2 linked regions of the Drosophila melanogaster genome follow. Changing the gene in region 2 together with the main gene of any one other region gives a genetic interaction. Each region holds a gene or a part of one and is shown on either strand. Other genes may lie near its edges. The genes, in order: Vang and pwn.

Region 1 (16,211 bases), 1.8 Mb from region 2:
TGAATCCCAGCGAAGAAAACAAATCCCTGGATGACATCGTCATGTTTGTCGCCCAGGTGGCTCAGTGCTATCCGGCCGTCTGCGAGGAGTTCCCAAAGCGTCTTTCCGATTTGCTGAAGAACTATGCCACCGTTCTGGACCCGGCTATGCGTAACTGCTTTGTGAAAGCTCTAATCCTGCTGAGAAACAAGAACCTAGTGCCCGCGCTGGACATACTGGAACTGTTCTTTCAGTTGCTGCGGTGTCCGGACAAGAATCTGCGCACCTTTCTGCAAACGCACATTGTGACGGACATCAAGAATATGAATGCCAAGCACAAGGACATGAAGCTCAATTCGGTAAGACGCAGTCGTCAGCTACCACTGTTGGACTCAATCAATATTCATTTATGTCTTTGCAGAGCCTGCAGGCATTCATGTACTCCATGCTGAAGGATGCCAATCCGAAGGCAGCCAAGATGTCCGCTGATATCATGATCGAGCTGTACAAGAAAAACATATGGAATGATTCTAAGACGGTGAATGTCATAGCCACTGTGGGGTGCTTCTCTAAGGTAACAAAAGTACTGGTCACCTCGCTCAAGTTCTTCCTCGGCCACGACGAAGAGGATGAAGAGGAGGACACTGACAGCGAGAACGAGGTGGACCTTAAGGGTGCTCTGATGGCCAATCGAGTCAATAAGAAAACCAAGAAGCGGACCAAGCAACTGGCGCAGATCAAAAAGCAAGCGGTGAAGGCCCAGAAAAAGAAAAAGAACGCTCCAGCCTTTAACTTCTCAGGCATTCACCTGGTGCACAATCCGCAGGGAATGGCCGAAGGGCTCTTTAAGCAGCTGCAGGCCACCAACGAGCGATTTGAGGTGAAGCTAATGCATTTGGACGTTATTTCCCGGCTGATCGGCATCCACGACCTCTTCCTTTTCGGTTTCTATCCGTACATAACACGCTTTCTGCAACCCCACCAACGCCAGGTGACACGTGTGCTCCAGTTTGCCGCCCAAGCGTCCCACGAACTGGTTCCCGGAGACATCATCGAGCCTATCCTAAAGACGATCGCCAACAACTTCATTACTGAACGCAACTCCAGCGATGTGATGGCCATAGGTCTGAATGCGACGCGTGAGATTTGCATGCGATGTCCCCTGGCCATGGGCGAGGATTTGCTGCAGGACCTGGCAATGTACAAAACGTACAAGGAGAAGTCGGTGATGATGGCGGCACGGTCGCTAATCACACTCTACAGGGAACAGCTGCCTGCCCTGTTGCACAAAAAGGACCGAGGCAGGCAGACAGAGGCCCAGGCCGAACGAAAGGTTCGAGCCTACGGAGAGCGCGAAGTCCACGACACTGTCTTGGGTGCAGAGGCTCTGCTCAAGGACTCTAAGACTATTGACATAGAGAGCGAAGACGATACGGACTCAAACGATGGTGAATGGGTTAACGTGGCGCACAGTGATGGTGAGGGTGGTGGAGCGGACGATGATGAAGAAGACGAAGATGAGGATGAGGACGATGATGACGAAGACGAAGACGAAGAGAACAGTAATGACGAGGAGAATGAGGATGAAGATAATTCCGACGAAGGCGTGGAAAGTGGCGAAGAGTCCGCAAAGGCCAAGAAGGAAAAGAAAGATATGAGGATCCTTAACCAAAAGGAGGCTGCACAGGAACTGGCTCTTACTCGCATATTCACGGACGAAGATTTCAAGCGCATCAACGCGGCTAATCTTAAGAAGACCGTAACCAGTGCCCGCAAGAGACCACTTGAACAGGATCGCGCCGAGTTCGTCAAGCTGAACAGCATCGAGATGATCTACAAGAAGCGCAAGCACGACAAGGAGTCGCGGCTGGAGACTGTGCAGGCGGGCCGGCAGGATCGCGAGCGCTTTGGCTGGAAGGATGGGCGCGTGAACGAGCACTGTTCCAAGACGAACCGCGAGAAGCGCAAAACCAAGAACTTTGGCATGCTGCGACACAAGGCTCGCTCCAAGGTTAAGAAGAGCTTCAAGGACAAGCAGCAGGCGCTGAGAAAACATCTGCTGCATCAGAAAAAGATGAAGTAGTACCTTCTTGCGTTTCAAACCTCGTAGTGCTTTAAATGAATACCAATATAAGATATATAATTCTAACCAATTGATTGTATAAAGGGTAGTTGGTAGAGTTATCTGATTTATTTCAATTCATATAGACTTTGTACGGTTGCCTATTCATTAAACTATTTTAAAAAATTATTCTTGGGGCTGGGAGTCGTTTATCTGCGACGCTTTTCGGACTTTTTAACGCGCTTCGGTCCCTTAACGAAGCACCAGTCAACCTGAATGGTCTGTCCCATTATTTCGGCACCGTTCAGGGCCTCTTTGGCGGCGAGCGCCTGCTTGTGGGTCTCGTACTCGACGAGAGCGTATCCCTTTGAGAACCCAGTACGCCGGTCGAGGTTCAGGTGAATGTTCTTGATTTCTCCGTAATCGCAGAACTTTTCCTGAATCTCGTCCTCCTGCGCCTCCTCATGGATAGAGGTGACAAACAGTATCCAGCCCTCGACGGACCTTTGTGGACCAGGTTCCAGCTCATCGTCGTCCTCGTTGCGCACACGCTCGTAGCTGTGGATCGCCTCTCGGGTGTTACTGTCGCTTCCAAATCCGCGTCCCTTGCGGTGCTTCGCCTTTTCCTTCAGGCGCACAATGCCCTCTGTTTTGAGCGTAGGGTGCACGGCGCGGCGTGGGAGAAAATAGAAAGCATAAGACCGGTGGATTACAAAGCCTGCCGCAGCTACTTACGGTCACCGTCCTCGTCCACCTCGAACTCCTCCGCATTGTCAATGTCCAACACATCGGCCATTTTCTTTTTCTGTGTCTAAAAAGCAGAATGAATGGGTTTATTTTTATTTCGTTTTCGTTCCGCGTCTGGCCAGTTGCAAAAACTCTGCTGGAGATGGCATTATCGTCAGTGTTGGTTAATTCCGTTAGGAATACTATCGCCTGGATGTTTGGAAAATAATACTTACATTGGCCACAAATGTTCCGAAAATGTACAATGTTTAATTAATTAGCTTGGCTTTAATAAAATATGTTGAAGTTAAGGGTAAATTGTATCAGCCAAAATCACCTTAGCAAAATAATAAGATCCGGAGGATTGGACTTTCAAAATACTTAAGTTCTCCCGTTCTTTTTTATTCTGTAACCATCTAAAGTAGACTTATTAGGTGCGTTTTATCCAAATATGTATTTTTCAAATTAATACTCTAGCTTTATAGGTTATAGGCATTGAAAATTCTTTAACATATATTTAACACATTTAACATAGAACATTTAAAGACGGAGCTAAAAATTGTGTGCTTAATCGGTCGGTAAAATATTTTTGTAAAACATAATTTGAGGGCACCATTAATTTTTATTAACAGCTGACATTCAGCGTATATTTTAAAAATAATAAGTTCGGTCCAGTACCATTTGAAAAGCGTGCATTATTACACTGCAGACGCTGTTTGTCCCAAACCTAATATTTTTATTTTTTTTATCCAATCCTTTTAGTCACTCGATTTTCAGTATTTTATTTATCATATACAAATATTAATGTATTTGAATAGAATGTCGAAAAAGTCGACTCGATGTATGCGATTTAAGATTCATGTATGCATCTACATATTCATTTCAGTTACCAAAATCTGAAATAATAAGGGTATGCAAATGCATCATAACCCACAATTACAATGCCGCATTTAATTCCTTCTGCGAGATTATATGTTACTTTGCTCATATTTTCAACAAACATAGGTCTTTATATAAAACAATCCACAAATAGTGGTTACTTGCAGCCTATAAGTCAAAAACCCATTCTCTGCCGTTTCCCATGCCAATTGAATTTAAAACTGCCTAAACTAAGAACTAGACTTGCTAGACAACTAGACTGTTTATATCTGCCCTGTGTTTAAAGATAAAAGTACAAATATTTTATTATTAATTTTCATATATAAACGTTAATATGCCATCGTTAAAAGACGCACTATCGCCCAGTCACGTTGTCATCTCAAACTCACGGCATAAAAAAAATTTGACCGGGGTCCGCTTTGTCAAAATTTGCCGTATGTTTATAAAGGGGCGTGGCAGACTGACTATGTGTATGTGGCCGCATCAGCGAACTTTATCAGGCTAACACTACGTCGATCGGTCGATCTTCAATTGCGCTCCCATCAGTAGCAGCTCAGTGTGCTTTTCTTTGCTGCCGGGCTGTGACATCACTGTCAGCAACCGAGTGCTGCCTTTTCTCCGCTCCCGTTCGGCATTCATCTAAATTCAACATAAAATTAAATAGATCTTTTGGCCAAAAAACCTCAGCCACCATGTGTCAATCCGGCGGCCAGATGCTGTGCGAGATCAAGAACATGGCTCTTTCGGGCGATCCGGAGCTAGATGGCGAGATCCGCAAGTGGATTCGATGGGACAAATGCGCTAGCACCGCCTGCCAAATCATGGACGCAGTTCGGGCGAAAGACTGGGACACGTAAGGATAATCCAAACAAAATGATTCATGGCTTAATATTCTTAATTCGCTGATTAAATAGGCTGCGCAAGAGACTGTGCACCCGCATCAGCTTCGGCACGGCCGGATTGAGGGCTTGCATGCGGGCTGGCTTTGACTCCATGAACGAGCTGGTGGTGATTCAGTAAGTTTGATCTTATCTTATCTCTAAGTTTATCGGATCATTGACTAATTTAATTCGTTTACAGGACGGCGCAGGGCTTATGTGAGTACATCAAGGAACAGTACCCTGATCCGGCGGACTGGTCCGGTCGTGGCATTGTCTTCGGGTATGACGGTCGTTACAATAGCCACCGCTTCGCCGAGCTCTCGGCCATTGTGTTCCTAAACAACGACTTTAAGGTGTGGTTGTTCAAGCGCTACGTGGCCACGCCCATGGTGCCCTTTGCCATCTTGAGGCTACAGTGCTTGGCCGGCGTCATGGTGACCGCCTCGCACAATCCCAAGGAGGACAATGGCTACAAGGTGTACTGGACCAATGGAGCCCAAATCATTCCGCCGCACGACGAGGGCATACAGGAGTCGATTCTAAACAATTTGGAGCCCAAGGGCTCATCCTGGGACGATTCGGCGATGTGCTCGAACACAATGCTGGAGGATCCGTACGATATCGTTGTGCCGCCCTATTTCGATATACTGAAGAAACAACTGCCTTGCACTTCGCTGGAGGCCAACGGAAGGTGCTCTCTCTCATTCACCTATACGGCCATGCACGGCGTGGGCTATGCATTTGTGAAGCAGGCTTTCGCCCGAATCAATCTTAAGCCTTTCATATCGGTGTGCGAGCAGCAGGAGCCGGACCCAGAGTTCCCCACCACTCCGATGCCCAACCCGGAGGAGGGAAAGACCTCGTTGGATTTATCAATTAAAACGGCGAAAGCCAACAGCAGCCAAATAATTTTAGCCAACGATCCGGATGCCGACCGCCTGGCAGTTGCCGAAGTACGCGAGGATGGTAGCTATAAGCTGTTCAGCGGCAACGAAGTGGGCGCTCTTTTGGGCTGGTGGTCTCTGGAGCTGCACAAAATGCGAGAACCCGACTGCGATGTTAGTAACTGTGTGATGATAGCCAGTACGGTGAGCTCAAAGATTCTCAGGGCCATGGCCGAGCGGGAAGGCTTCCAGTTCTTCGAAACGCTGACTGGATTCAAGTGGATGGGTAACAAGGCAATCGAGCTACAGCAGGCGGGAAAAACTGTGTTGTTTGCCTTCGAAGAGGCGATCGGCTTCATGGTCGGCACCACCGTACTTGACAAGGATGGTGTCAGCGCGGCTGGCCATTTGGCCACTATGGCGTGCTATCTTCGGTGCAAGCTGTGCATGACACTGCAGGAGAAACTGCGCGACATCTACGAAACATATGGGTTCCACACGACTGTCAGCTCCTATGTCATATGCCGTTGCCCGCCGGTCATCGAGCAGATCTTTGAGCGCTTGCGCACCTGGGACGAGGGCAAGGCAGACACCTATCCGACCAGCATCCTTAACGGCGAGTACGAGATTGAAAACGTTCGCGATTTAACCACGGGATTCGACAGTAGCACTGGCGACAAGAAGGCCACCTTGCCGACCAGCTCCAGTTCCCAAATGATCACATTTACCTTCAAAAACGGACTCGTGGTCACTCTACGCACCAGCGGCACGGAGCCCAAGATGAAGTACTACGCCGAAATGTGTGGCAAGCCGGACGAGAAAAACTGGGCCAAGCTGACTAATACAATGAATACCATGGTGGAGGCCATTGTCGAGGAATTCTACGAGCCAAGCAAGAACGGCCTCCAGCGCAGGAAGGAATAATCCGAATGCACCTTTAAGCGGATACGCTAGGCGACTGGGACGAAAGATCTAACACGTAGACCTGTCTAAAATTGAAAGTTCTATACCAACAGCACTGACGACGCACAAGCCAAAAAACAACAGCAGCGCAAGCTGTTGCCTATTATTGTTTAAAGGATATCTGATATGTTAGTATTCCACTCACATTTGGCTAGTATTTATGAAATAATGTAAATAAAAGCGAACGCACCATCCACCACCAGGCACCAAATCATGGGTTTCCTCAGTTTGATATTTAAGTAGCTTATGAAATGAGACCATCGTGCTCACTCCACTTGAATTAATTGAGCTTATTACTCTTATCATAGAAATTCGAGAGGCATTCGAGTCTTTGTATCACAAAGAACTTGAAACTTGATTGATTGCGATTAAATCTACTCATACATTATACTTCAGTGCGATTTGGTAAACCTGCTGGGCTCAATAATCAATATAGGAACTGTTTGTTAATCCCGAGCTGATAAGGCAACTTTCAGACATTCAAAAGACCCCCAAGAATGAATTAATTACGTGCGCATTTCCACGATTTGCGTCACCTTCGAGATAGAACAATTCGTTTAAAGCTGTTAAAGAAGTGGGTTTGATTTATTTACGCATTTTGTTTTTTATGCTAGTTACAATTACAACAGTTACAGTTTGAGAGTAAATGTATGTATAAATGGTATGTATGCTTAGGTTGGTTTTCCAATTGCTTTAAGTAATTGCTAGATAATTGCAATATAAAAGAGCTTCGACAGAAGACATTTAGCTAGAAAACGAAAATGAAATCAAACCTCAAGCAAACGTTTCTAAGTAGTTTTGTAAATAGGTATATATCATATATGTATGTATATATAGATTGGGTTCACTGGAACGTACACATGTTCGAATACGAATTCGGGTCCTTATCACTATAATTTTGTCTCTAAAAATACACGAGTTTTTGTATATATGTGGTTGCTATGCACAGGCTAGTACATACACCTGCTAGTGGCTGTTGGCAATTTGTGTGTATAAAATGCATATTCAGGCAGTCTTCGCTTATATTATGTATTTGTCATCAGTTGCATTCGAGTTATAGTTGTTTCGTCGTTTCTCAACTTTGTGGCAGAAGAGTTAGGACCATTCGGTTTCGGCTTAAAATGTGCGTATGTAAAATCTTATTAAGTCGCGTCAAAAGTGGCCAATGCACTTTCGACGCAAGTCCGAGTCCTAGCTAAAATTCCATGGGCTTGCCTTGGCTCACTCCATTCCTTCTTAAGGCTAGCGATCGGGCTCACGCCTCACAGATATCGGGTAAAATTTTAGATATTCCGCGAAGAGTAAGCCCAACTTTACACTAAACATATTTACTAAAATAAAAATCGTGTATAAAAGAGCTGCATTTAAGAGTTGATATCTGAAGATCGCGGTTCGGCAAGCCAAACCATCATTCTTATAATTAATACTTTGGGAACTTGTAAGTCATGTTTGCTTATCAAAGGGTGTGATATGTTCGCGTCGGTTTAGGATGATACACTGGGCTTTTGAGCATTGTTTCTTGATATTCGGGTCATAAGTTCAAGTTTAGCACTGATAAGTACGTTGCCTTCTCATCTAATAATCATTTGTTACAAGATCAAAATTTAGCTGCTGAGGCCTGCCTAGACATTTTGTTCTCACAACAACTTTTCCTTTCTAAACTTCCATGTTTTTTTCTTTTTTTTTTTAAATTCAGGGTTTTGATCGATTTAAAAATGCTCCTCTTGTTCATTGATAAGTAATTTTGATTGCTTGGTTTGATTGGTTGTGGTGTTTCAGGCATATATAAAAATGAATTCAATTACCCTGATGGCAGTTCTCACAAGAACGTCATCGATTTGGCTGAAGTAAAGAAAATATGTGAATATGTGAATTAGTAGCTGGGAAAATCAGACAAACACATGCAAGTAGGACGATTGCGTCTGGTTGCTATGAGTGGGAGTGTTGATTGGAGGGGCGTTGTGGTGGTGTCATACGGATGTTTCGGAGTTCAACTTAAGAACAAATTTGTTGCTTTTGGGATCCACAACCTCCTCGGCCAGGTTGAAGTGCGGCAGCTTGTGTACGGTTACCATTAGGGAGACATCGTTCTGAATTAACTGGAACGTGCATTCGTTGCCAATTGGCCGAGAGACGATCTCGTCGCAGATCAGGGACCAAGACTGCACCCAGCGTCGCTCCTTCTCGCTCTGCATCACCGGAGACTCGGTCAAGTAGGGTTCCAAGAAGGCGCGGGGCGACAGATCATGCTTTAGGCAGTGCGCCAGATGTTTCAGTATGCTCTCAAAGGTATGCCGCGGCTGCTGACGCGTAACCCGTAAGTATTTTTGCAGCGCCCTGGCCATCGAGGGAAAAACCGCCGAGGCAGCCTCCTGCGGATCGAGCGGCAGTGCCGGAGCCGGTTCGTTATGAATGCGTTTGATGTGGGTGAAGGCCTCCTCGGCGGCGGTTATAAGACGGGCACGCCGTTTCTTCACACGACGTTCGTACTCGTGCTCTTCGTAAAAGCGCTCGTTATGCGAGGAGTCTCGGCGCCGCGCGTTGGCTGCTAGAACTGCTCGACTCTGGCTTTGCTGTTGCGAATTGCTCACCCCATCCACTTCGTAGTACTTGAAACTGTTTGATATCTTGTTTCGCTGCGATTTGGAGACCGATATTGGGATGCGCTCCAGGTAAGGGTTAAATATGGGGAAATCCACGTAGTAGTGCTGTAGCACCCACACAGCCGCCCGTTGGATGCTCAGCTGACCCAACATGTAGGAGCGCGAAACGCCGTCCGGGGAGCGAATGATCTTGATGTAGTAGCAAGGCTGCTGGTGTCGCAGCTCTAGTAACACCACGGCCACATAGTGAATAAATAGAAGAGTGTCCACAAAATTGGTGGCATAGCCTACCAGTGACTTGTAGTCCACGGCATCGCCGCCCGTCTCCACAACGATTTTGGCCCCGTTTGTGACCTGCACGATGTAGAAGAGCCAGTAAGCAAACGTGCAGATGGTGACGAGAAGGAGGACGAGAGCGCGATATAGGAATATCCGTGGCATGGTGGCCGATGTACGTCGCATGAACACTGCCCACAGGCCGATGGCCAGAAGCAGCAGCCGGGCGGCCAGCGATACCAGTTGGCCCTTGCACTGCTCACTGCAGGCCAGCAGCTGGGTGCGAACAGTTTGCGTTATTTCCGGATGATCGAAGGCCGACGGAAAGAAGCCCACATACGGCATCACCACCATTGCCACTGGCGAAAAAAACGCTCCGCATCCCAGCAGGAAGTAGAAGCTCGACTCCACGTATCGGCGGCACGCAAAGCTGAAGCCCTTGTCGCTCTCACGATGCCACATGTTGTTTATGTCCTCCATTGAGATGCTTTGCTCCGAGGTATTCCCCGTGACGGCGGTAGTATTCTCGCCCCAGTTCTCGTCCTGCGGAAGGATTTGCACCTCGATGACTTCCTGGCCATCGTGGCTGCCGTCTCCTGGTGCCCAAATAATAAATGGGTCAATTGGTTTCCTTCCACCGATAGAGCCATTAAACAAACTCACCTGTCATATTAACGCTGGTCTGGTACGGTGCCATGTCGCCACGTTGAAATCCCTTGGCCGACTTCGAGGAGTGTGTGCTGCGGTGGGAATGTCTGGAGCGGTCCCGCTCCCTGTGATAGCCGTTGTTGACACTGCCTCCTCCGCCACCACCTCCGCCGCCACCCCCTCCGCCGTTGTTGTTGTGATTCCGCGAGCGTCTGGAGCGTCCACTGTGTTCCGACTTGACGGATTCGTTTTCCATTGCAATTGGGCTAGCGCGCGAGAGCTATGCCCGATTCCGAATCTCCTGCTCGCGAAGAGACGTGCCCCAAATCACCTTGCAACCTGGCCGTGCAGCTATTTTAGTGTCTAACTGTAATTGCGGCGGCAGCAGGTTTTTCATACGCAGGTATGCAGGGCGCAGTGCATAGCCTATAGGCGATTTAGAGCTTTATCTGCGGCTAATTCTGCGGCACATTGTCACTATTCGTGTCTTGCATGGCTATTTCATACGCTATTTAACTATTTCTCGCACATTTTTCGCTTTTTATTCACTTTTTCGTGGACTTGGCTTCACCCCCGACGCAGTGTGACCACCGCAACACAATCAGCAGCACGGTCACATTGCATTTAGTGTTTTCAAACACTATCAGTTTGGCAATTCAACCGCCAAACTGATAGTTTAAATTTTAAAGTAAGTTTATTTTGTTGGACAATATCATGAATTTGCAATAATAGCGGAAAGTAATTGTCTGGCTCTCTGGTCAGTTGGGCTTAGCAGTATGGCGCGCTGCAACAACTTCATAGAACAGGTTTTGTCTACTGCACTAACCGCCTGACTGGCATATATAGTGGTCAGTGCCTCTTCGCTGGCCAAGATGCTAAATATAAACAAATTCAGTCTATCATAATACAATGTATATAAATTCCCAAGTCTTACCTATTTTGTTGCTTAGTGTGTCCCAGAGTAAGAGTTATTCGACCCATATTTGAAGTAGCCAGTCGATAGGATTGGTCATCAGAGAAATAATCAAGAAGAAACTTTAGCACGACACTTCGCAGACTTCGGGAATTGGGAAACATTCGTATGCGAGTCTGTAGATAGCACAACGCTCTTCGGGCACCCTCCTAAACAAAATCATAGTATTACTTTTGTAGAACCACAACATTCACCACTTTTAACGAACATTTATCAGGATGTAGTGAGCCGTTAAATAGGATATGTCGGCACAATACTCCTTCTTAAAGGCGTACGCATTCAGCTCCGTCAGTATCGTATGGATCAACGCATTATCTCTATGAAGTATACCTAGGGCAAGGGCTGAAAACAACGCCTGAATGGGGACCTCCTTCAACAAGACACTTTTGGTGATTATAACGTTAGAAATGTTGAATCAACAAAACAAATATTGCGCTACCAACCACTGATAGAGTAGGGTTTTGGTGTCCGCTTCGCCCTGAAAGTCGTAAATCATGGATGCCATAGCCACGAGGATGGTAGCTGCTTTGTCATCGCCATGATCAACCACGTTGCCGAGAACGGAGTTGTAAATAGAGTAGGATTCCTGCAACTGACCGGCTAGATAATATGCCTGGGCCAGGCCAATGATCGGCTTAAATGTGGCATGTGCAACCGTGTTTAGGGCGTGTGCCGCCTGCTCCGGCTGGTCTATTTTTAAGTACAGGTATCCCAGATTCGTGTAGAGCTTGTCACGATCCGCTCCAGGTTCGCACAACTTACACGCCCGAGTGAAGGCTTCGATTGCTTGGCGATACAGGTTTTTCCGGGCGTAGAGAAATCCCTGGAACGACAGCGATGCTGGTGTCGCATCCGTCTCCTCGTTTTGCACATACCTTAAATGTATTGCAAGTCTTTAGTTGGTTTTAGATAGGGCATTACTATAATACTTACCAATTGATGGCATCCAGCGCAAGCACATCAGCGTACATGTGTTCGATGGCATGCTTTATGCGCGGCTTGTCGAAAGATCCAGGAGTCGACAGCATTTCGCACACCCAATGCGCAAATCCAAGCGCCGCCTCCGGATGGTAATCGAACTGCTGGCAGTGACGAAACAGATCAAAGGCTTCCTCGCGATCGCCAATCAACTCCGCAACCATTGCTTGTCCAATCCAAGCGTTGGCGTACACGGGACTTGATTGCTGGGCTCTCGTAAAGGCCTCGTTGGCCAATCGGACTTCATTCAGTTTAATATAGAGAACTCCGAGATTGGTCCACGCTGTGTAGCACTTTTTTTCCAGCACTACAGCCTGAATAAAACAGTGCTGTGCCAATGGCAAGTTCTCATTTTCGGAGTTCATATTGATAACTCCGAGAAGATTCCAATTTTGCCATCTGTTGCTACACTCCTTAATGGCCATTTTGCACGCCTTAGTCGCCGTCTCTAAGTGGCCGTTTGCATCCTCGGGTATGAGAATGGCACTGTAGTAGCTGGCTAACGATAGCTCGTACCACAGGTACGTATTCTGCTTCAGTTTTAAGGCGCACAAGTAGAAGCGCTGAGCTAGCTGTAGAAGATCCTTGCGTGAAAGATATGCAATGGGTTCTTCGCGCTTGGCTAGGTTTCCAGCCACATCCAAGTTGGCCAACGAATGCGGCAACTGGGCTGTCTGAACGAAAATGTTAGCTGAGAGGCGCCATAGCCAAACCATTCCTTGAGCTTCACGCTGAAGGAAGGCGCTGTAAGGAATGGATAAAACTTATCAACAGATACACGAAATCGCTGGCTGAGCTAATACCTTTGAAGGTGTTCCAGAGCCAATTGGAAATGCGCTTTGGATCTTCCGTACAAGTTCTGGCTCTTCAAACTATTCGCAATGCCAATATGCGCTTCAGCAGCACCTCGAAGTCCGGGCAGGTAAGTAGGATTACGTTGTAGCAGCGTATCGTAATCTTCAATAGATTCAGTGTACATGCGTATTGTCTATTAAATGGGGTAAAAATTATTTATGTTTTCTTGTTAATTTTGGAATGTGGCACCGTTTTCACTGAAGCTATTTGAAGCAGGGCATAATTATTCTCCGGAGATAGTTCAAGGATCTTTTGAAAGACTCGAATAGCCGAGTTGTACGAGCCGCGTCCCGCATAAGCATCACCCAATGACTCCCAGTAGCTAATGCAGCGGGAGTCATTCTTAATGGCAATGCGAAAGCATTGTATTGCCTGCAATAAAAGTGTTAAATCGGATTCATCAATGATAATCAATTGCTTACACTGTCCCACTTCTTCACATGCGAGAAATGCAGACCCAGCTTGTACTGCAATCGAATTGATTCATTGCTACCCAAATGGCTCAATGTGTTCAGCAGCAGGGTCTCGTTCAGTTCCTCCTCGCCCTGTTCTTGGTAGATAAAGCTCAAGGCATCCACAGCTTCCTCAGCGAGGGGATTAAGGCTTATGCACTTCTCGTAGCACTTGCGGGCTCGTGAGAAGTCCCCAGTGGCCAGCGGGTACAGCTTGCCCAGATAGTCAAAGCACTCGGCAAAGTGTGGGCGCAGTCGAGTGGCCTTTAACACATAATTTAGAGCGTCTGAATAGTTTTTCAGCGCCATATGCAGCTTGCCACAAAGTAGGTATGCCTCAAAAGTCTTACAGTCAGCAATTTCTTGAAGAGCTTCAGATGGAGATCTAGTATAGCAGATGGAAAAGGTGGATTGACTTCTTTAATTTTTGGATTTCCTACTTACAAAACAAATTCTGCTTTGGTCAGATCATCCAAGGGCAAATCTTTCAGCAAGTGCAGTTCGCCCAGCTTGAAGTAGCAGCTGCAAATTAAATAAACTCTTGTTATGCATTTTATTAAACCAAATACTATTGATAAAAAGCTCACCGAGCCAAAGACTTAATATTGCCCTCGGAGTTTTCAAGCGTTTGTAAAATCGTGACAGCTTCTCTTAGTTTTGAAACGCCTTTTTCGTGCGATAAGCATAGAGCATAAGCGTCGTTTTCCTGTCCAATTTCCTGCCACAGCTGAAGGGCCAACTTGTATGCGCCCAGCTCCATGTGGATACGAGCCAGCAATTCCAGCGTTACTTTGTACGCAGGTTGACTTTTCTGTGCCTGCAATGCCAACTGCCTGGATGCGACGACCTGCCCCTCAGCGAAAAGATCCAGGGCTTTAACCAACAAAGCAAGGTTAGAGTTAGGATTAAGCTCCAGAAGCTGCTCAGCGTACACCTGAATGGGATGCCTCAGCTCCTGTTGCCAACTAACTATTTCGGATTGCTCGTGGTGTTCGCAGTAGGTCTTGCATATCCACTCGAAGCCATAGACATCTTTGGGATGCGACTCGGTCATATTGCAGGCGTGCCGCACGCAAGTCTCATAATCCTGCTTCTTGTAAAGCCACTTCAGGTATCGCTTGTAAACCACGCTCCTTGCACTGGGTTCAGAGTTCTGCAGCAGAGCTTCCATAGTCGTTTTGTACTGAAAAAAGTGTAATTAGTCATTACGCACTAATTTATAATAAGAAATTGAGCTATGAAAGTGCTCATATCAATTATAATTCTTTATATTTCAAAATTATTTTTAATAAATAAATTAATAATTATACGGTAACTTACAAGCTGAGTATCTTCGGGCGCAATTTCAAAGTCGTTTGAAACCCAAATGCGTCCCAGATACTCCTGAATTTTCGTAAAATTTCCATTCTCTGTGTCCTGCACTCTCTTTTTAAGTACAGTGAAGCAGAAAGGAGCCACATTTGAGTCAGAGGCCAAGTTGAAAAGCTTTTCCCAATAGTTCAAGGATTGTTCTCTAAAAATGTAAAGTAAAGATCACTTTAGTAGTCCTTTTATGACAAAGTCTAGTATGGATAGTATGGAGTATGGATAATGACCAGGGAGTCACGAGCAGATTCTTACGGTTGCAGGTCAGCCAACTGATCATAGATTTCAGGCAGTTCGTTGCTGGGCGCGCAGTTGGCGAGTCCGAGGAGCGCGGCAGGGGCCGGACCATCCGTGCACTTGATGCACTGCCTCAGGTTTTTGGCCGCCTCCGCCTTGTCGATATTCTGGTAGGCTGCCCCAAGCAACAAGTAGCCCATAGCATTTTCAGGCTCCGATTTAAGTAGGCGCTGCAATAAAGGCATTAGGATGATGCATAACTGGTATGTTCTATGGTGACGTCACTTGGCACTTGGGTATGGCTTCCGCATGCTTGCCCAGCTTTATGGTCTCCCGAATGTCCTTGATCAAGGCTTTTGACTCTTTTACGGCGCTCATTGTAAATATTTATATTTATTTTTCATCTATTCCAAACAAACAGTGATGGGTAACTTGATTTTGTATAACGCCAGTGTTGGTCACTGCTGCATAAGGTGCAACAGCTGTTAATTAAATTGTGTGCTAATTAAGTGTCAGTAAAAATGCACATTATCTGCAAGTCGCAGTGCGGAAATCGCGCTGCTTTGAAGGTAGTTCATAAGTTAAACAGCCCCTAATAAATCCTAATAATGTTGTTTGCCCAAAGCGACCCAAAACCGGCGATGCCCTGTGCAAGGAGTGCTTCTTCGCAGCCTTCGAGGCAGAGATCCATCACACAATCTCCTCCAGCAACTTGTTCCGACGTGGCGAGAAGGTGGCCGTAGCGGCCAGTGGAGGCAAGGACTCCACGGTCCTAGCGCACGTGTATGTCGTACCATTCCCCCCATCGCACCTCTCTAATCCAAGTGTTCTACAGATTAAAACTGCTAAACGAACGCCATAACTACGGTCTGGAACTGGTGCTCCTTTCCATAGACGAAGGCATCACTGGATATCGGGATGACAGTTTGGAGACAGTGAAACAGAACCGTGACGACTACCAGATGCCACTAAAGATCCTGTCCTACGAGGAGCTCTACGGCTGGACCATGGACCGCATTGTTGCCCAGATCGGCCGTTCTAACAACTGCACATTTTGCGGCGTCTTCCGCCGACAGGCCTTGGATAGAGGGGCCAAGCTGTTGGGCGTTGATAGCATAGCCACAGGCCACAATGCAGATGACATTGCGGAGACTGTCTTGATGAACGTGCTCCGTGGGGACACGGCGCGCCTGCGACGCTGCACGAGCATCCGCACCGGCGGGGGCGAGGATACCATTCCCCGAGTGAAGCCCCTCAAGTACAGCTACGAGAAAGAAATCGTGATGTACGCCCACTACAAAAAGCTGGTCTACTTCTCAACGGAGTGCGTATTCGCCCCCAATGCGTATCGCGGCCACGCTCGAGCGTTTCTCAAGGATTTGGAGAAAGTGCGACCATCGGTTATAATGGACATCATCTACTCTGGCGAACAGCTTCGCTTCAAGGACAC
Region 2 (15,483 bases):
GCCCTGATCCCCTGGTGCGTACGCTCCGGCTGCTCATCCTGGTTGTCGAAGGTGCCCGTGGGCTTGATGTTGTAGTGGAAGTACCGTCCGGCGGACACGTCCTTTTCCAGATCCTCAGGGAAGTGCACATCGTTGGGTCCGATTGGCTGCCGATCATGCAGAATGGGCGACGCCGAGCGCTCCACTCGCTCCGCCCGCGTTTCGTTATCGTTCACATCCAGGGGCGATGATTGGCCTTCGGCCAGACCGTTTACGGAGTCCGCCATGGTGCTCTCGATCCTCTGACGGTCCGGACTGCGGTGGCTGCTCGATTTGGGTGAGATCTGTGAGACGCTCTCGTGCTGGCCAGCTGCAGAAAATTGATAGGAAATATGTTAGACAATATGATACCAGTGTAAAACAGTTAAAAGTATAAGTATAGAATCTATTCTTATCGAGGCGATTCAATGGCATTATAATATTAGCATCAGGCGTTGATCCTGTACCGTAAATATAATTGATTGCTACTTAATATACAATCACTTAGAGATATTTACATCTTTATTGAAAATGCATATTTAAAAGTTATGTTCGGTCGTAAAAGAGAGCCACACTTGCTTCGAATCAATAAGAAATCAAATTTAATGGGCCGCTTTTTTCAAATTATTCAATCAAATCAATTTCAAAATATGGGTCTTATACTTCAATGGGTACAATGTGCTATACCGCAAGAAAACGAAAAGAAAGGGAAAGAGTTGAGTGAAAAGAGCGTTGAATTCCGACGTTCGTTTTCCCTCGAATCCATCATCGCATCGACAGAATCTTCACATTGGGGTTTCACTTTTCACATGCCCATGCACCTGCCCTTTCCCTTACGCTCCCTCTCGATCCCGACCAGCAGCCACTCCGTCATTGTCAACGCGACTCATTTCCATGTGGGGGGAAACAATGCCCAACCCATCCAAAGTCGGCTCGGATCAGTTTCAATCTCTGTCGCAGGCTTGCCAGGCATCATTTGTTTTCGATGTCAAGTCTGAGTCGCAGTCTTTGTCTTTTTTCTGCCCGGCCTCTCGGATTCTTTTCACTCTCTTTGCATATAATTGTGTTTGTTTTCCTTCGAAATTGTGGGTTTGCGCACCCAGTGTGTGTGGATGCAAGCTGATGGCTGCATATCTGTCACAATGCTAGGGTTATATTGTTGATTGCCCTGGGTACTCGGCGCACACAGATGCATAAGCTCTTGGCCACATAGATACTCGTACTTGGTTTGGTGGCCTCGGGCCAGATCTGCACTCGCTTGGCAGCCTAGGAAGAATTTCACAAATTGCTACGTCAAGCGTTGAAAAGATGCCAGGCCGAGTTGTTGTTGCCCGATTTTCATCATTTCCTCGGATATGGCAGATAAATGAGCAGAGCCCGCCACAAGCAACTTAAATATAGATTGTTAACTTGTAGAATGCAGATGGCAATCGAATGGGGACAAGCACTCAAACCCACCTTGTCGATCGCTGAGATCGCGAATGGGCACCCCTTATCGCATCGTTACTGCAATTTTCCACTCTCATCCAGTCGCCAATCACACAGGGAGAAATGCATCGAATATGCAATCTATATCATATATAAATATATCTATATATAGATCTGATCATTCAGATCGGAGTAACTTTGCATGCCTTCAAAGCAATGGTTATAAATTATAATTGAATGTAGAGATGTTATAGATGGCCAGGAGTAGTACATATACTCGTGTGTTCCTACAATGGGTTTTAAGTAAACGAGGTCAAAATGAAACATTTTATTGATTCCCTTCGGCACAGCATTTGAATCCATCAACACTCAAGCTGTGAATTTTCCATACCGTACCGTAAACACATATCTCACTGAGCACTCAAGTGTGACCCAGCTATTCTTTGACACCTTCCGATGAGATTTATTTGCCGTTGGCTTTCTACGACTTTGGACTTTTCTCCCCCATTTTTCGGGTGTCAGGTGCATGTCATCTTTTGGGCCAGAACCAGTTTAGGTTGGAACAACAATCATAATTCACACTCGCGCGAAGAAACACGTTTAGCTATTGAGCTTAACCCAATTGCCGAGCTGCATTGAGGCCTCTTTGTGAGTGTCGTGGTTTTTTGATTAAGTTTGGCACAGATTTTACTTTCACCTGTCGCTAAACTGGCTCGCCCCTGATACAAAAATACAAAATATTTGTTTCACTTTCTTCGCGCCAGCTATTTGTTGCGATTTTGATATAATTAGCGCTTCCTTTTGGGCAGGCGAAACAAAAGGCGGCGACACAGTTTTCACTTTCCTTGCTTCGAATTGCTCATTTTCCAGTTTTCCTTTTGATTTTATTGATTTCGGGCCTAAGTGAGTGGGTCTGGGATTGCGATTTTTTTTGATTGGGTTGGTGGTGGTAAAAGTGAGCCGGTGGCTCTAAAACTGCCAGACATGGACAAAGCTGGCTAAATGTGTAACGCAATTTGGCGAACGAAAATTGAATTCCATTTCGGAGCGGGGCATGCAACACTTTCACGGCCAGGCCGCAACGAAAGTAAAACCACTTGGCGTCCGGATCTCTTGGCCATTAAATCCAGACGGGCTGGGTTGAATGCACCCGATCTGACAACGGCATGGGGACACCAGCAACAGTCGTCATTAGTTCCAGTGCTTGCCCACACTAACTCGATTGCTACTCCAGCGAGGACGCACGACTTGTGCCCTGTCTCTTTTCGGGCTCTTTTCTGCTCTTCCAGCTCCAGACCAACCCACACGGGCGCCCATTCCTTCTGCTTTGGGCCAACGCCAAACACGACTCCAATTCCAATTCCACTTAAATTGGCGATTTCAGCGCCTCCAAATTGCCGACAAGAAATCACTTTCTATTTCGCTGCACTTTTCAACTGTTTCCCAACGTGGCCAAAAGCAAAACAGAAATTAAGTCCGCCTGCTCGCCTCTAATGTGGGCAAAGCTGGCGCAAATAATTGCTTATGAAATACGACAATTTTCCGTTTTGACTTCAAAGTTTAACACACGTCCCAAAACGTTGCGCATACGACATGTATGCCCTGGCCACTTTCGGTGTGCAATTGCGCAGGCGTAGAAGGCTGGCTCGATTATGCAATAATATCATTTAATGGAGAGGCAGCGGGCGACAATTCGTTATGTTTTCACCATAAATAGAATTATGTAATTGCTGTTAAATGACGATGTTGTGCCGGAAGGCGAATTTCAATGACAATAAAATATCTTTGGAAAACATGATGTGACTTATTTGGCGTTTTTTGTTAAAATTTTTAAGAGCCTACCTTCTCTAAGGCATAAAATAATGAAAAGTATAAAGTTCGAATACTTTTTGTTTATAATAAGTAAAAAGGGCTTTAACATACCTATTTTAAACCACATGTATGCAATGATTTGCATTTTTCAAGTAATCCGAACACAATCTGATTCATTTACATCTTTTATTACACTCAGTCCCATCCCAGCTCACTATTTTCTATCTATGGAAACAAATCGAAAAAAATCACAAACACATCTCTCACCTCTCTATTTTAATACTTTCCCATCCTAAGCTTCTTTCATCTTTTGAATTGGCCCGTAAACATAACTCAGCCGCCCAATTGTGAAATCCGCGGACCCCGCGGCGAAGACATCCATTAAAGAAGAGATGTGGTCAGTCCCTTATCTTGGAGTGCCATCGCAGCAGCCACGCCCCGAATGCAGAGCGCTAGAACCGCCGGGACGGACTGAACTGAATCCAATCCAATACACGGATCTCTCGGCGATCTCTAACGTCCGAGTGGAGCATTAAAAATTTGATTTAGTGCTAATTGATTTCCTGGGCGTTCCACTTTCGTTGTGGGCGTCGTGGCCAAGTCTGAGGTAGTGGTCGCCCGTGAAACCCAATTGCCAGGGAAAGCCGTTGAACAGTGGGTTCTAGTGCGAACTGTCCAGATTACCCTCATCCGATCCGTGGGAGCTGCCGAGTCATTTCTCGCGCTTTTCATTAGCAAAGCAAATAAAGTATCTGTGTCCCGGTCCCGAGCACTTGTGCAATCAAACCGTCAACTGGCTGGTGTTGCTGCTCAAGAGTCGTTGGTACCAACAATTGGCCAGGATAGAACTTGAAGAGCGTCTTGGCCAGACTTTTCTCCGTCTCTGGGAAGTCGGGCCGAGATGCATGAGCTGCAATTAACAAAGTGACGACGACAGCCGACACATGGCAGCCTAAGACAGCCTGCACTTCACTCGACCCAAAGTAGCGTCTGGGGAAATTGAAGCATTTCGCTGGAAAACTGATTTTCCGTATCCATATTCTGTGGTTTTTCTTTTCCAGCCACCGTGACCATGACGTTTGGCCTTTGGAAGTGCACGAGAGTCTTTCCTTTGCAAACGCGTGCCTGCCAGTTCGAAATGTTTAAACAATTTTATCCAAGTGCATTTTTTGCTTGCACTGAGAAATAATTTTTGTATGTCTATGGTCTCAATCGAGCGACAAAGCCAAATTTAAACTATATCTCTCCGGAATATTTTTTTATTCTTTGATCTTCCTACTTGACCATAGATTTTCTCTCGGTGCTCAGGCTGCATCCTTTGTATTAGGCCCTCAGACGTGGCTCCAAAGCGAATGACCTTAATCAAGGTCTAGCTCTGATCTAACCGCCTTGAGATCGGAGCCAAAGTCGAGGTAGAAGTGGAGGCACAGCTAAAAGCGGTTGCAGTCTGGCTGCGTTTCTGTTTTGGTCAGGCTTCCGCAGATGCGGCTGTTGCAGTTGGTTTCGCTCTGCTGCCTGCTGTGGGCCGAGTTTAAGCCAGGCCAAAATCCCAAACTGAATGGGGAAATTTATAGCCTGGACGCGCTCTGCTGGCTTTAATCGCGGCAGTGCAAAGTAGCTGGAAGAAATCCTCGGATATCAATAGACAATCCGGGGCATGCGCAGGGATCCCAGGCCCGATTTAATGGCCTCCACTTATGAAATCTAATTGTCTCTCATGTTTAATTAAGTCGCAGGTGGCAGCGAACGGAGTCGAGGCCTCTAATAGCCGGGCCAGAACCAGACTAAGCCCTGTAACTAGCTGCAATTTAGCTGGCGATAAGCGATCTGCACGATCTCCTGGGGAATGCTGGTAAATAGTTGAAATCGCATTCGGTGCAGCCCCCTAAACACGCCATGAGAATACTTTAGCAGTCAATAACTTGGCTTGGGTCAGTAACCCAGTGCTGCAGAAGGCGGTGGAGCCCCAAGATCCGAATGATCCATTATAGAGATTCTGTTGAGAAATGGAGCACTGGATATGTAATAGCGCGTATTAGAGATGGAAAACACATGATGATCCCGCTCCAGGCAACCGCTGGCCAACATTCGCGTCAAATTTAACGCCGAGTTGAGCCGAGCTCGAAACATATTGATTGAAAGGTAAATGGATACCTCTCTCTCACTCTCTCTCTATGCGTTTTCCCATAGCAATATTTCTCATCTTTACAGCTCCAGCTCCAGCGAAACTGGGTCATTGTACCCACAGAAGCCGGCTTAAGTATAGTCGCCAAACGGAAACTAGTTGCTAGCCAATATGGTCTTAATGGTCTGTGACAAGTTCAGGACTGCCTGTGTGTTGGTGTGTGTCAAATAAGAGTCCACAACAAGTGGTCATCAGAACCGGCTCTCTGCACAGAAGAACGCCACTTTATATACAAACTGTCAGTCAGGCAGCTTTTTATTGGACTATTTCCAACTGCGTGCCAAATAGAAATGGTGAGCTGCACCAGTGTGAGTGAGCGTGGGTATTATTGTGTCATTTGGGTCTCTGTTTTGTTTGGACAGTCAGCTAACTGCACCCATTTAACGGATTTTATGCTTGATTCTTTTTGTCATTTCTTTTTATTTTGGTTTATTAATTGAGGTTGGAATGTGTAGGGAAATTTATATACTCTGCAAGCTGGAAGTAGTCAAGTTCGTTGTTTAAGTCTTTCGATTTTGCTATGGGAAATAGGAAAACCTTCGTGGTTCTTGAAAACATGGAAATATATAAATTACATACTTCTTTATAATTGTATCACAAGTAATTTAGTTTAGTTCCATTACATTTTATAGTAATAGAATTTTTTTATAATATGCCGTGTATAAATTTTAAAAGCGTAAATCATATGAAATCCCTAACGGCTTCTTGTCAGACATTTCCTGTGACATGGGTTTCATGTTTTTTTTTTGTTTTGGCCGAATTCACTAGCTGGGTCCAAAATCATGGAGAGTCTGCGATTATAAAATTCCATTGGGAACCGGTTTGTGGCGGTCTCCCGAATAAAATACTGTAAGAGCACAAAAAGAGAATTTCATTGATTGCCATTGATAGTCCACGCCAAAACATGTAAGGGACTCCAGGCAAGGGCACCCAACCCACCCCCTTTCGGGCGGCAAGCCTCTCTGTTCTCCCACAGCCCACCGCAATTTAATATGGGTTCACAGCGCCCCAGGACGACCATTAAAGAAGATCGGAAGGGGCCAAAGAAATAAAATAAAAGAGGAGAGACACGCAAAACGAGATAAATTGTGGGTTCAGTTGGCTTTACCTGCCGATGGGTGTGTGTCTGAATGTGCGATCGTGCCTGGCAACTTTCGATGTGCTGAATTTCATTGTACAATTTTGGACATCCCGATCCGAGAGCCACTGCTCTTCTCACGGGAAAGGGAAAGTATGCAGTTATTGATACGGCTTCGGTTTCACGCTTTGATTGGGCAATCGGAACCCAGCTCAAGATCAGTCGGTGCTCGGCTCTAATTGAATGCTCAGGTCAGGGTGGGGAAGAGCTGGACCTGGAAATTGATTATTGGCGATCAGCATGTGAGCTGATTACGAACTTGGAGCATCTCATATCGCCTGGGTGAAAAGGGAACCGAAGAACTAATCTGCTGGAGGGTTTTTACCTCCAAAGCTATAAAGCCGGTCTGCTTAGATATTGGTATGTAGATATTGGTGTTGCTTGATTTATTCTGAGACTGAAACTTCTTTCATTACCATTTTTGGTGGGCCAATGAATTCTTAAAGATTATGGATACCGAAGAGAACTACATACATACATAAAGAAAAGCAACTGCTTTCCAATCAGTCAGTACCTTTTTTCGACCATTCTGGCAGCTGCTACAATCTTTTTGTACCGCGTTCAAAAAATTCAATTATTAATTGCGTCAGCAATACCAGTCTGTGAACAGGTGAACAGGCCACCAGGAACACCCAGAAATTCGAACCAAGATCGAGAATATGTGAGAAACCTGCCGAACGAACCTGCCTCTTGACCCAATTAAGAGTCAAGCGATAAATTTCTGCTCAGCCTGCAACGACGGCGGCTTCTTTCTTCCTCCTCTTTCGCATCAGGCAGTGGATTTTTGATTATTTATACGCAGCTCTCGCTCTTTGGAGCCACCTGTGGCAAGTGGGCCATGTAACCGAAATATGCCGAAAAATAAAATAAGAACTAAAAATGCGAGGGAAAATTGCCCGTGGAACCAGCTAATCTGAAAATTTAATCAGCTTAGCAGCTGTGAATAATGAGGGGCTCTCCGGGAAAGGGAACGCTCAGAAAAAAAAGGGGAATGAAATCGAAAAACCCACCGGGTTGCGGCAGTAAGTCAGCGGGTTAGAGTGTCATAGCTACAGTGGTTACAGTGTCCCCACCGAACCCGATCGAATCCATCGATCTGAGTCGGCTATTCGCTGACTGAGTGATGCTGGAAGTGCGGAGCCGGGAAGACGGACACCAAAGCTCCAACTCATGGCGCTTTCTTTGACACTTTTCCAGTGCCTCCAATGGCTCAATTCGCTGCGAGTATCGTATCGAAAGCCCCGAAAAGCCGTTAGCTGGGTGTAACTGTTAACCGTGGCACTGCTGCGCTTCTTTCTGTCTCACTAAGCCATAACTAAGCAGTCCGGCGCCGCGAGATTCTGTTTTCTTTTAATTAAGCTTGCTGTAAAATAATTTTCACTTCACCCAATTTTCCCGCCCGGCTCTATGTAAATTCCATACGCCATTCCCAATGCTAATGCGGCTTATTAGCTGCATGAAAGGTTTGGGCCCGGCTTCAAATGGCCCAGTAAACAGTGCAGTTAGCTTTAATTGATTCCAACCCGCCGAGAGCTGCCCGCCTCAGTTGGCCGGATTCGTGCAATTAAGCGGTTTCAGTGGAGTGGCTCCCCCTGGCGGAGGAAATAGCAGGTATTCATAGGAATGCATAAGTTTATGGCAGCCGTTCCTCGAAATCCACTCCACTGTACTCCTGGTTAGGGCCATTCCGGACCAATTGTACAGCTCACATGGGAAGCTGACACTCAATGCAGCTTAGCAAACAATACAGAAGCAGTGAAATCCTAGCAAAGCTTTAACTTTTATTTAAAGACTGCAAAAAATGCTTTTTATTTATTTAAAATACACACCACTATTTTCCCCAGCTTAGCTACAGATCAAAATGTTTCAAATTATAATGCATTTTTATTCGCCAAAAGGTAGCAAAGTTAGCAAAGGCTTTTATTTTTAAATTTTTAGTGGACATATTAATTATTATGCTCAGAAAAATTGTAGAAATGGCGTCAGAAAGTTCTTCAGAGAATCCTTACCTATGTAAGCCTAAATATATGAATTCATTTATAAACTCATTTAACTCATCGACCATCTGCAAATTAAATTTACAAGCTGTTTTTCACTTAGAATGGACATCACTTTGAAATGCGTAATTGTTGAGAATTGTCATAATAGTGTCCACTTTGCTTAAGTCATGGCTTCTAACTAATTGTGTATTTAGCATTCTGGTTTTTGCAGATTCTGGTTAGGAATGCATGATATTTACATTACCCTCCGTCATTCTCATTAGTTTTTACGTGCCCAATTACAGCGCCTGATGACGCCTTCATTTTCACATATTGCATAAGCTCAGTTAACGATTATAAGCCACGCAGCCCAAGTCATAATAAACTTTAATTAGCTTCGATTCACGCACGTCACGCACTTCGTAAGCGACAAAGCGAAGTGGAGCCAAACAAACCAAAGACAAAAAACCCAAGACGAGCCCAGGCAAAAGTCAATGAATCCGGTATGAATAATCGCAATTGTGCAACTTGAGCTAACCCTCCGTGGGCACTGGCCAATGAATCATAGCCGCGCAGTTTTGATCTTCACTAGAAACCCAGCTGTAGATGCGATCGACCCAGTTTAGGGGCTGCAAAGCCTCTCGAAAAGTGTCACCTAGATGGCATATCTAGGCTTTTAGTAGGTCAAGCCCGTATTTCACTGGCAAAAAAAAGAGAAGCAGCTAACTTCTTGGCGTGCTCGACAATTGAACGCACTTGTGCGGGGGTGCTGACACCTCCAACTCAGTACAGTTAGCACACTTCATTACGTTTGGCACAGTTAGGCAGGTAGGCACCCAAGTACCAGGTACCAAGTACCCCGACCCATCCGATTCCCCCCCCCCCCCCACCAAGCTATGCATTCTCAGTAACGCCTAATAAATTATGCAGCAAACGCAAGCTTTCTAAAAGCCAGCAGACGAAAATGAGAAGAACAATCACGTACGAGTGCTGGCGAGGAATGCCTCTGGCTGACTGAAGCATCTTCATCAAGTGCTGGCACGTCGGGCGAATTCTTTCTGATTTTCTGCTTTTTGTGAACCAACATTCCTCAGAAATGTATCAAATTAAAAATTAAAATTATGCTCACGTGTGGAAAAAGCTGTTCGCTTGTAATAACTAAATGCTCGCTTGAGCAGAACCCTCGGTGAAAACATATGCTTATTTGAGATAAGATGCACTCAGAACAAGTGCGAGAGATTCGCTTGGATGATGCAGAGGTGCGAGAAAAGTAGGAAGATTCGATTCAGATGACCGCAAGGTGGAGTGGGTTCTTGTTGCACAAGAGTGCATTTGATTTTCATATACCTTCCCAACCAATTGGGCAACTTCCAATGAGGACAAATCCAGTCAATTTTGCATCAATTGAAAAAACTATGCAAATATCAACACAAGATCTTGGCTTTATCTCAACTTTCATCCTCCCACTTTGTTTGAACCCGTGAAAGTTGTCTGCTGGCACAGGCCTCACAATTAAAGTTCAATTTATTAACTGAATGCATGTGAAATTCTTTTGTTGGGCATGTCACTGTCCCTCTCCCCGTACTGTACCCGCTTCTGGCCAAGACTTACCTGTTGTTTGAACGAGGAGCAGCAAAAGAGCCAGTGGCAACGTCGACACGACCATGGCCATCAAGTGTCGATGGTCTCTCGGCCTTCTATTGTTGGAAATTGCTGACGGCCGGGAGGTGCCCCGACCTACTCCTCCTCCTCCTCCGCCTCTGTCTCCGGCTCTACTCGATGGTATAGAGTGTGTTAAGTTCTGTGGCTTTCGTCGCATGTTTGCATAAACTACGAGTTCCGCGGGCACACTCTTTTTCTTCTTTTAGGGTTATTGTCAGGGTTTACTTTATTTATTTTCGGCGTTTCGTTGTTTTATTGATCAACCGTGCTTTGGCGAGGCATGTTTTGCTTTGACCGAGTGTATTTATGCTGAAAGGAAGGAGAAAGGTGGTCAAACAGGCGTTAGGGTCGAAAATAATTCTAGGGTTTGTGCCTTAAGTCTTTTGATTTGGGAGAGTGGTTGGCAGTCGAAAAGCACAAAAACTAAAATAAATGATATGCGTTTTGTGGCTAAAGTGTTCTGCTTGCGTCAAATATCGTAGGGAATTAGTTTTTGTCTAATCACACACAAAAGTAAAATATGCTTTTGATGTTTATTTTGATGTTTTTTGATTTGGAAGAGTTTTCGCACTAGTTCTTGGGGATTTCGGTTGAATGCAGACCCCTTTCTCTCATTTATTCAAATCAATAATAAAATTCGTGCCTTAAGTCTTTTGATTTCATAGAATCTTTTCAACTGTTCAATGGTAATGCTAACTTCGTATGAAGTATTCTAGTTCCGAACATCTTAGATAGATATTAGATAGATATACATAGGCCTTATCACTTCTCCCTTTAATGGCCCAAAAAGTTAAATGTACTGCTTTGGTTGTCTAAATTGCGTCAGACAGCCATAGGGTCGAATCCCCTATTAACCGGCAGTACTCCACAATGGTGGCATTAGCATTTACATAAGCAGCGGCTTAGTGAGTCAATAAACCCGGCCGTTTAAACGGCTGGAAAGAAAACAGTTTAAGAAAAACTTCGGATTTGTTTGCCAGTTACGCAAACTGAAGCGTTCCATTCAAGCAACTAACCGAACTCGGCTGATTGAAATGCTAATTTTGATTGATGTCCAAGACGCTCCGAAATTGGCTGCAGCGAAAGTCCGGTCTCAATTCGAGGTGCCAGAAAGCAAAAGTGAAATTCCGCAGCGAGCACGGAGCACGAGCGCCATCATCTGGAGCAGATAATCTGTCGCCAGTTGTCCTTGCCCTAATCGATGCCAGCTGCCCGAGATTACCCAATGGCCGGCGTGCTAATCAGAAGCCAAAACAGGCCCGTGTCGCAAACCGCAGTAACTGAAGCAATTGCCGGGCATTAGATGGAAAGTGAAAGCATCCAGAGCAGCGGCAACGGAGGTAGCGAATGGAAAGGAAAGGTAAAGGTTGCTTCTGCAGCATGCGAGTGAATACACAACGTACGAGTATATGTGTACGTGATCTCAGACCGGATCGGATCGGACCGGTCGGACTTAGGCCGCCTGCAGTTGAGTCATGACGCGAGTCCAGGTCTGAGTCTGAGATATTTTGGCAGATCTTTGCTTGTGGCCTTTGCGTTTGTTTACTCCGCATTTCGGGCTCGAAAGGAACCTTGAAATATCTGCTCTGTACGCTTGAAGAATCCCAGTGAAATAGAAAGTTCAACGTGAGCAGCCAGAAGAGCAAAACCACAACAAACTCTATTTGCTTCGTGGGCCATTCGCATCTGTGTTTCTGTTTCGGTTTCTGTGGCTTTCTGGGCTGTCATTAAACGAATCCACTTTTCAGCGGATTGTTGTGCTTTTCCATTGAGCGACTCGCCCACACTGGCGGTTGTTTACATTTTCATTGGAATAATTGTTGGTTTTATCAACTTTGCTTTCTTTTCGTCCCGGGCCTTGGACTCTCAGCACCCAGCGGAAGTTGCGGCTGGTAATTAGTTTTCATTTCTCTCGCCTTCTTCAGTCTTCTTCAGTTAAATGACTCATGTGATTTTTCATAAGCCACTTTTTTCGGAGCTCGTCCGTTGCGTAACCGATTTCTGAGCCGGCAAAGCGCCAAAGGAAGGTGAAGGTGTAAGAAAAGGTAAATATGAAAAAGGGAGTTGAGACTTATCGACGGAGAAAGAGAAAACAAGAAATCGAAAATTGCATAAGGCACGATCTTTATGACTGTCGAAAGGTTGGCATAAGTAATTGTGCGATATATCCATTAGTACTGCCAATTTCCCAACGCAAGACTCTTGGGATTTTTGTTAACCAAGTATCTGGATTTTCCATTTCGGACTCACCTCAAAGTGTTTCCATTAATCACACGATTGAAATCCCCGAGATTTGATTGATGTTTTTGCGTGCAACTCTAATGCACGTTATTTTCAATTAGATTTTGCACATAAATAACGCCAATAATGGAAAATTTCACCAGTTGGTTGCGGCCTAAACTGCAAACTGCAAACTGCAAAGACGACAAGGCACACCAAATTGAGGATCTGGCCGACGCAGCCAAATCCAGCTTCGGATTCGGCCCCAACCGGACCGGGTAACCCAGTGGAAATGCGGTTTTGTGGCTTCGAGGAATGCAAAACGCTTAACTCTGAATAATCGAAAAGCAAAATCAAGCGACAGCTGCCCCCTGGAAAATTGGCACAAGTGCTCTCGAAATGGCACAACTAACAGTATCAAGTGCTGGAACGCGAATCGGGAGTGGGCAGTATACTTGGTCTTGGTCTTGGACTTGGACTTGGACTTGGCCTGGAGCAATGTAGCGGGTCGCGTTGCAGTCGACGGACGTGTGTAGGCCGTCCGACAGGTTGCAGCGGACCACGTATCCGGTTGGGGCAACCTGGCGGATGCGCGATGCGCAGCCTCGCTGATTCTTGCGCGAAAAGAGCCCAATTAATGCTCTCGGCACTCCTGGGCCCGAGTGGCTCTCTCTAATTGGGAGTGAAACGGCGGACAAATTATAAATTTGCAAGCAATTTCACAGCAGCCCAGTAAACAAAGGCCGCAGACAAAACCAACTAAGCCAGCCGAGCAAAAAGGTAGCGCGAAAAAAAGAAAGTTTTTGAAGTTTTCGTTGCTGCCGCCTTGGGGTTTGTACTATATATATGTATGTATGTATGTATTTCGCTTGTCTACACACACAGACGCGCGTCGCACAAATATCATTTATTCGGCATACGTTTACATATTGGCCGTTTGCTTCACTTGGAGAAAAACACTCATTTCTTTCTCTGGCTCACTCACACGCATGCGCAGCGCTGGCCTGAGCCTCCTAAGTTAACTTATTCACTTTTCATAGACTCGAACGCACTCACACACGCACACGGGACCGATGTCGGCTAACCCGGCGATGGCTTCTTCAATTTCTGGCCACAATCCACGCTCCTCACCTACCGAAAACCGTCAACAGGTGCGCACCGTTCGAACGCTCGACTCAAACTGACTCGTGCGAAGCACGAAGACTTCGCGCAGAGCCGAAGAAACGAGAAACCGCAACTCGCTTGGCCGCTCTTCGGAAGAGTGCCCGCGAGTGGAAGACTACGCAGCCAGTCTTCAGTTCGATTCTTCAAAATAGGTTTTTGATTTGGAGCTGCAAATGCTGTATTTTGCAAAAAGTTTCTTTTACTTGGCATGCTGATGGCAACTCTGTTAGGCTGTAATATCAGGTGGAAGACCAACATGGGAAAATCTAAAAGTTGGTCTTTCAAAAGTTCTAAAGAATTGCAAACTGATGGATCACAAAAGTGGCATTTGATGGAATTTTAGAGCTTATTCATTTAGATGTGTTACTATCTTTCCTTACAGTTTTTGATAGAGTATCCAATGTGCCACATGGAATTCACATAGATTCAGCCCCAATCGACTTGGGTCCGTGGGGAAGTGGAGCTACTAACAGAGTGCACTTAAACGGAAACAGTAACAATTGAAAGTGGCAATTTGGGGAGCGTACGCGCCTTAATTAGATTGCGGATTAAGATGGTCCCATCGAATCATATTCATGGGTGGATCCGCGGCGACTTCCACATGGAGTCGACTCTAATCAGCAGCAATTACTGTGCCAATTGCCCATGCCGATTCCGCTGATTTCGGCTTTCGATTGAAAATGAGAATGGCTCGTTGGAAAAGTGGGATTAGCAGCAATGGAAACATGATGGAGGAGAATCGAATCGAGGCAGTCTTTTCGATCGTCTGCGCATCATGCCACAAAACCATGCCCCATGACCAGTGAAATTGTGTTTGCCGGGCTTGTTTTCTTTTATTTCGTTTACTTGCCTCCTCTGCGTTTTCACACTTTTCACGAATCGACGTATCCATTGTTGGGCAACTTGGCTAATGGAATCGGCAAGCAGCCACCAGCGAACCATTAATTGAGCACGCTGGCGGCTTTAATAGTTCTAAAGCAGCTGGATATTAGTGTCAGAGTCGCAGTGAATCGCGCAGCGGTACTCCGCTTTAATTTTCACAATTAACTTTATTTATTCGATCATAAACATGTGCATTTACGGGAGAAGAGAGCAGGACTACTTGGCTAGTATTTCGGCAGCTCGGAATAGCGCGGCGGCGTGGACCACAGCACGCTGGAGTTTCGCTTCAGCTGGCTGGGATCGATGTTCGGGAATATCTGCTTTAGGTCCGGTGTGGTGGGCGCCACCGAGAAAAAGCTGTCGATGATGTCGGTTGGGCAGTGGCTCTGCATAGCAATTGCCTCTCCCCTTACGTGGCCTGAAAATAAACACATAAGTCAGAATCTATATTTAAGAACATTTCCTTTAGTAGTCCCAATGGAAATCAGACTGTAATCTGGTGTATTTACTTGTATATATTTACGATGAATAAGGTATCTCGAAAATAACTCTTCGAAATGATCCACAAACTTACTTCGACTCCAGGTGGGCGCTGGGGGACGCTTGTGGGTGACCTTTCCCTCGTCGTCTGTCGAGTCGTCTTCGTGCAGCATCTCCCAGGTGTACTTGGTTTTCGGCGGCGGCGGAAGCATCTTCTTGGGCTTGGCGCCGGTTAGCTGCTGCAGTTTCTGCTGCTCCAGCTCCTTGAACTTGGCCTTCTTGAGCGCCTCGGCTTCCTCTTGCTGGCGCATCTTCCGCTGCAGCTCCTCCAGCTCTTGTCGTTTGCGCTCTTCAATTCGCTTTCGCTCCTCCTGCTTCTTGGCGCGCTCGGCGGCCAGCTTGGCCATACGCTCTGCCCGCTCCCGCTCCTTGGCTTCGCGCTGCTGGGCAGCCTGCTGGTGCTTTTGCTCACGCAGCTTCTTGCGCTCCTCCGCCAGATTGTGCAGGCCCTTGCG

The links.
Region 1: of pwn (region 2) and Vang, changing one enhances a phenotype caused by changing the other (phenotypic enhancement), as found in Drosophila melanogaster (one study listed by BioGRID).

What each region holds. Positions count from the first base shown.
Region 1 is NT_033778.4:9,097,522-9,113,732, reverse strand, and holds Vang (Van gogh), read right to left. Parts: upstream 10,496-16,211; 5' UTR 10,158-10,495; coding exon 9,917-10,157; intron 9,850-9,916; coding exon 8,345-9,849; coding exon of another isoform or gene 8,264-8,344; 3' UTR 6,937-8,263; downstream 1-6,936. Other genes in the region: Mys45A (mystery 45A), read left to right, coding at 1-338, 401-2,062; tsu (tsunagi), read right to left, coding at 2,251-2,687, 2,777-2,837; Pgm2a (phosphoglucomutase 2a), read left to right, coding at 4,339-4,499, 4,561-4,662, 4,727-6,335; CG8777 (uncharacterized protein), read right to left, coding at 10,614-10,776, 10,836-11,023, 11,083-11,257, 11,318-11,749, 11,808-12,596, 12,656-12,840, 12,897-13,079, 13,130-13,544 and 5 more; Ctu1 (cytosolic thiouridylase subunit 1), read left to right, coding at 15,283-15,330, 15,387-15,544, 15,597-16,211.
Region 2 is NT_033778.4:7,280,717-7,296,199, reverse strand, and holds the start of pwn (pawn), read right to left. Parts: upstream 13,629-15,483; 5' UTR 12,473-13,628; intron 10,532-12,472; 5' UTR 10,380-10,531; coding exon 10,172-10,379; intron 350-10,171; coding exon 1-349. Other genes in the region: Incenp (inner centromere protein), read right to left, coding at 14,713-14,906, 15,063-15,483.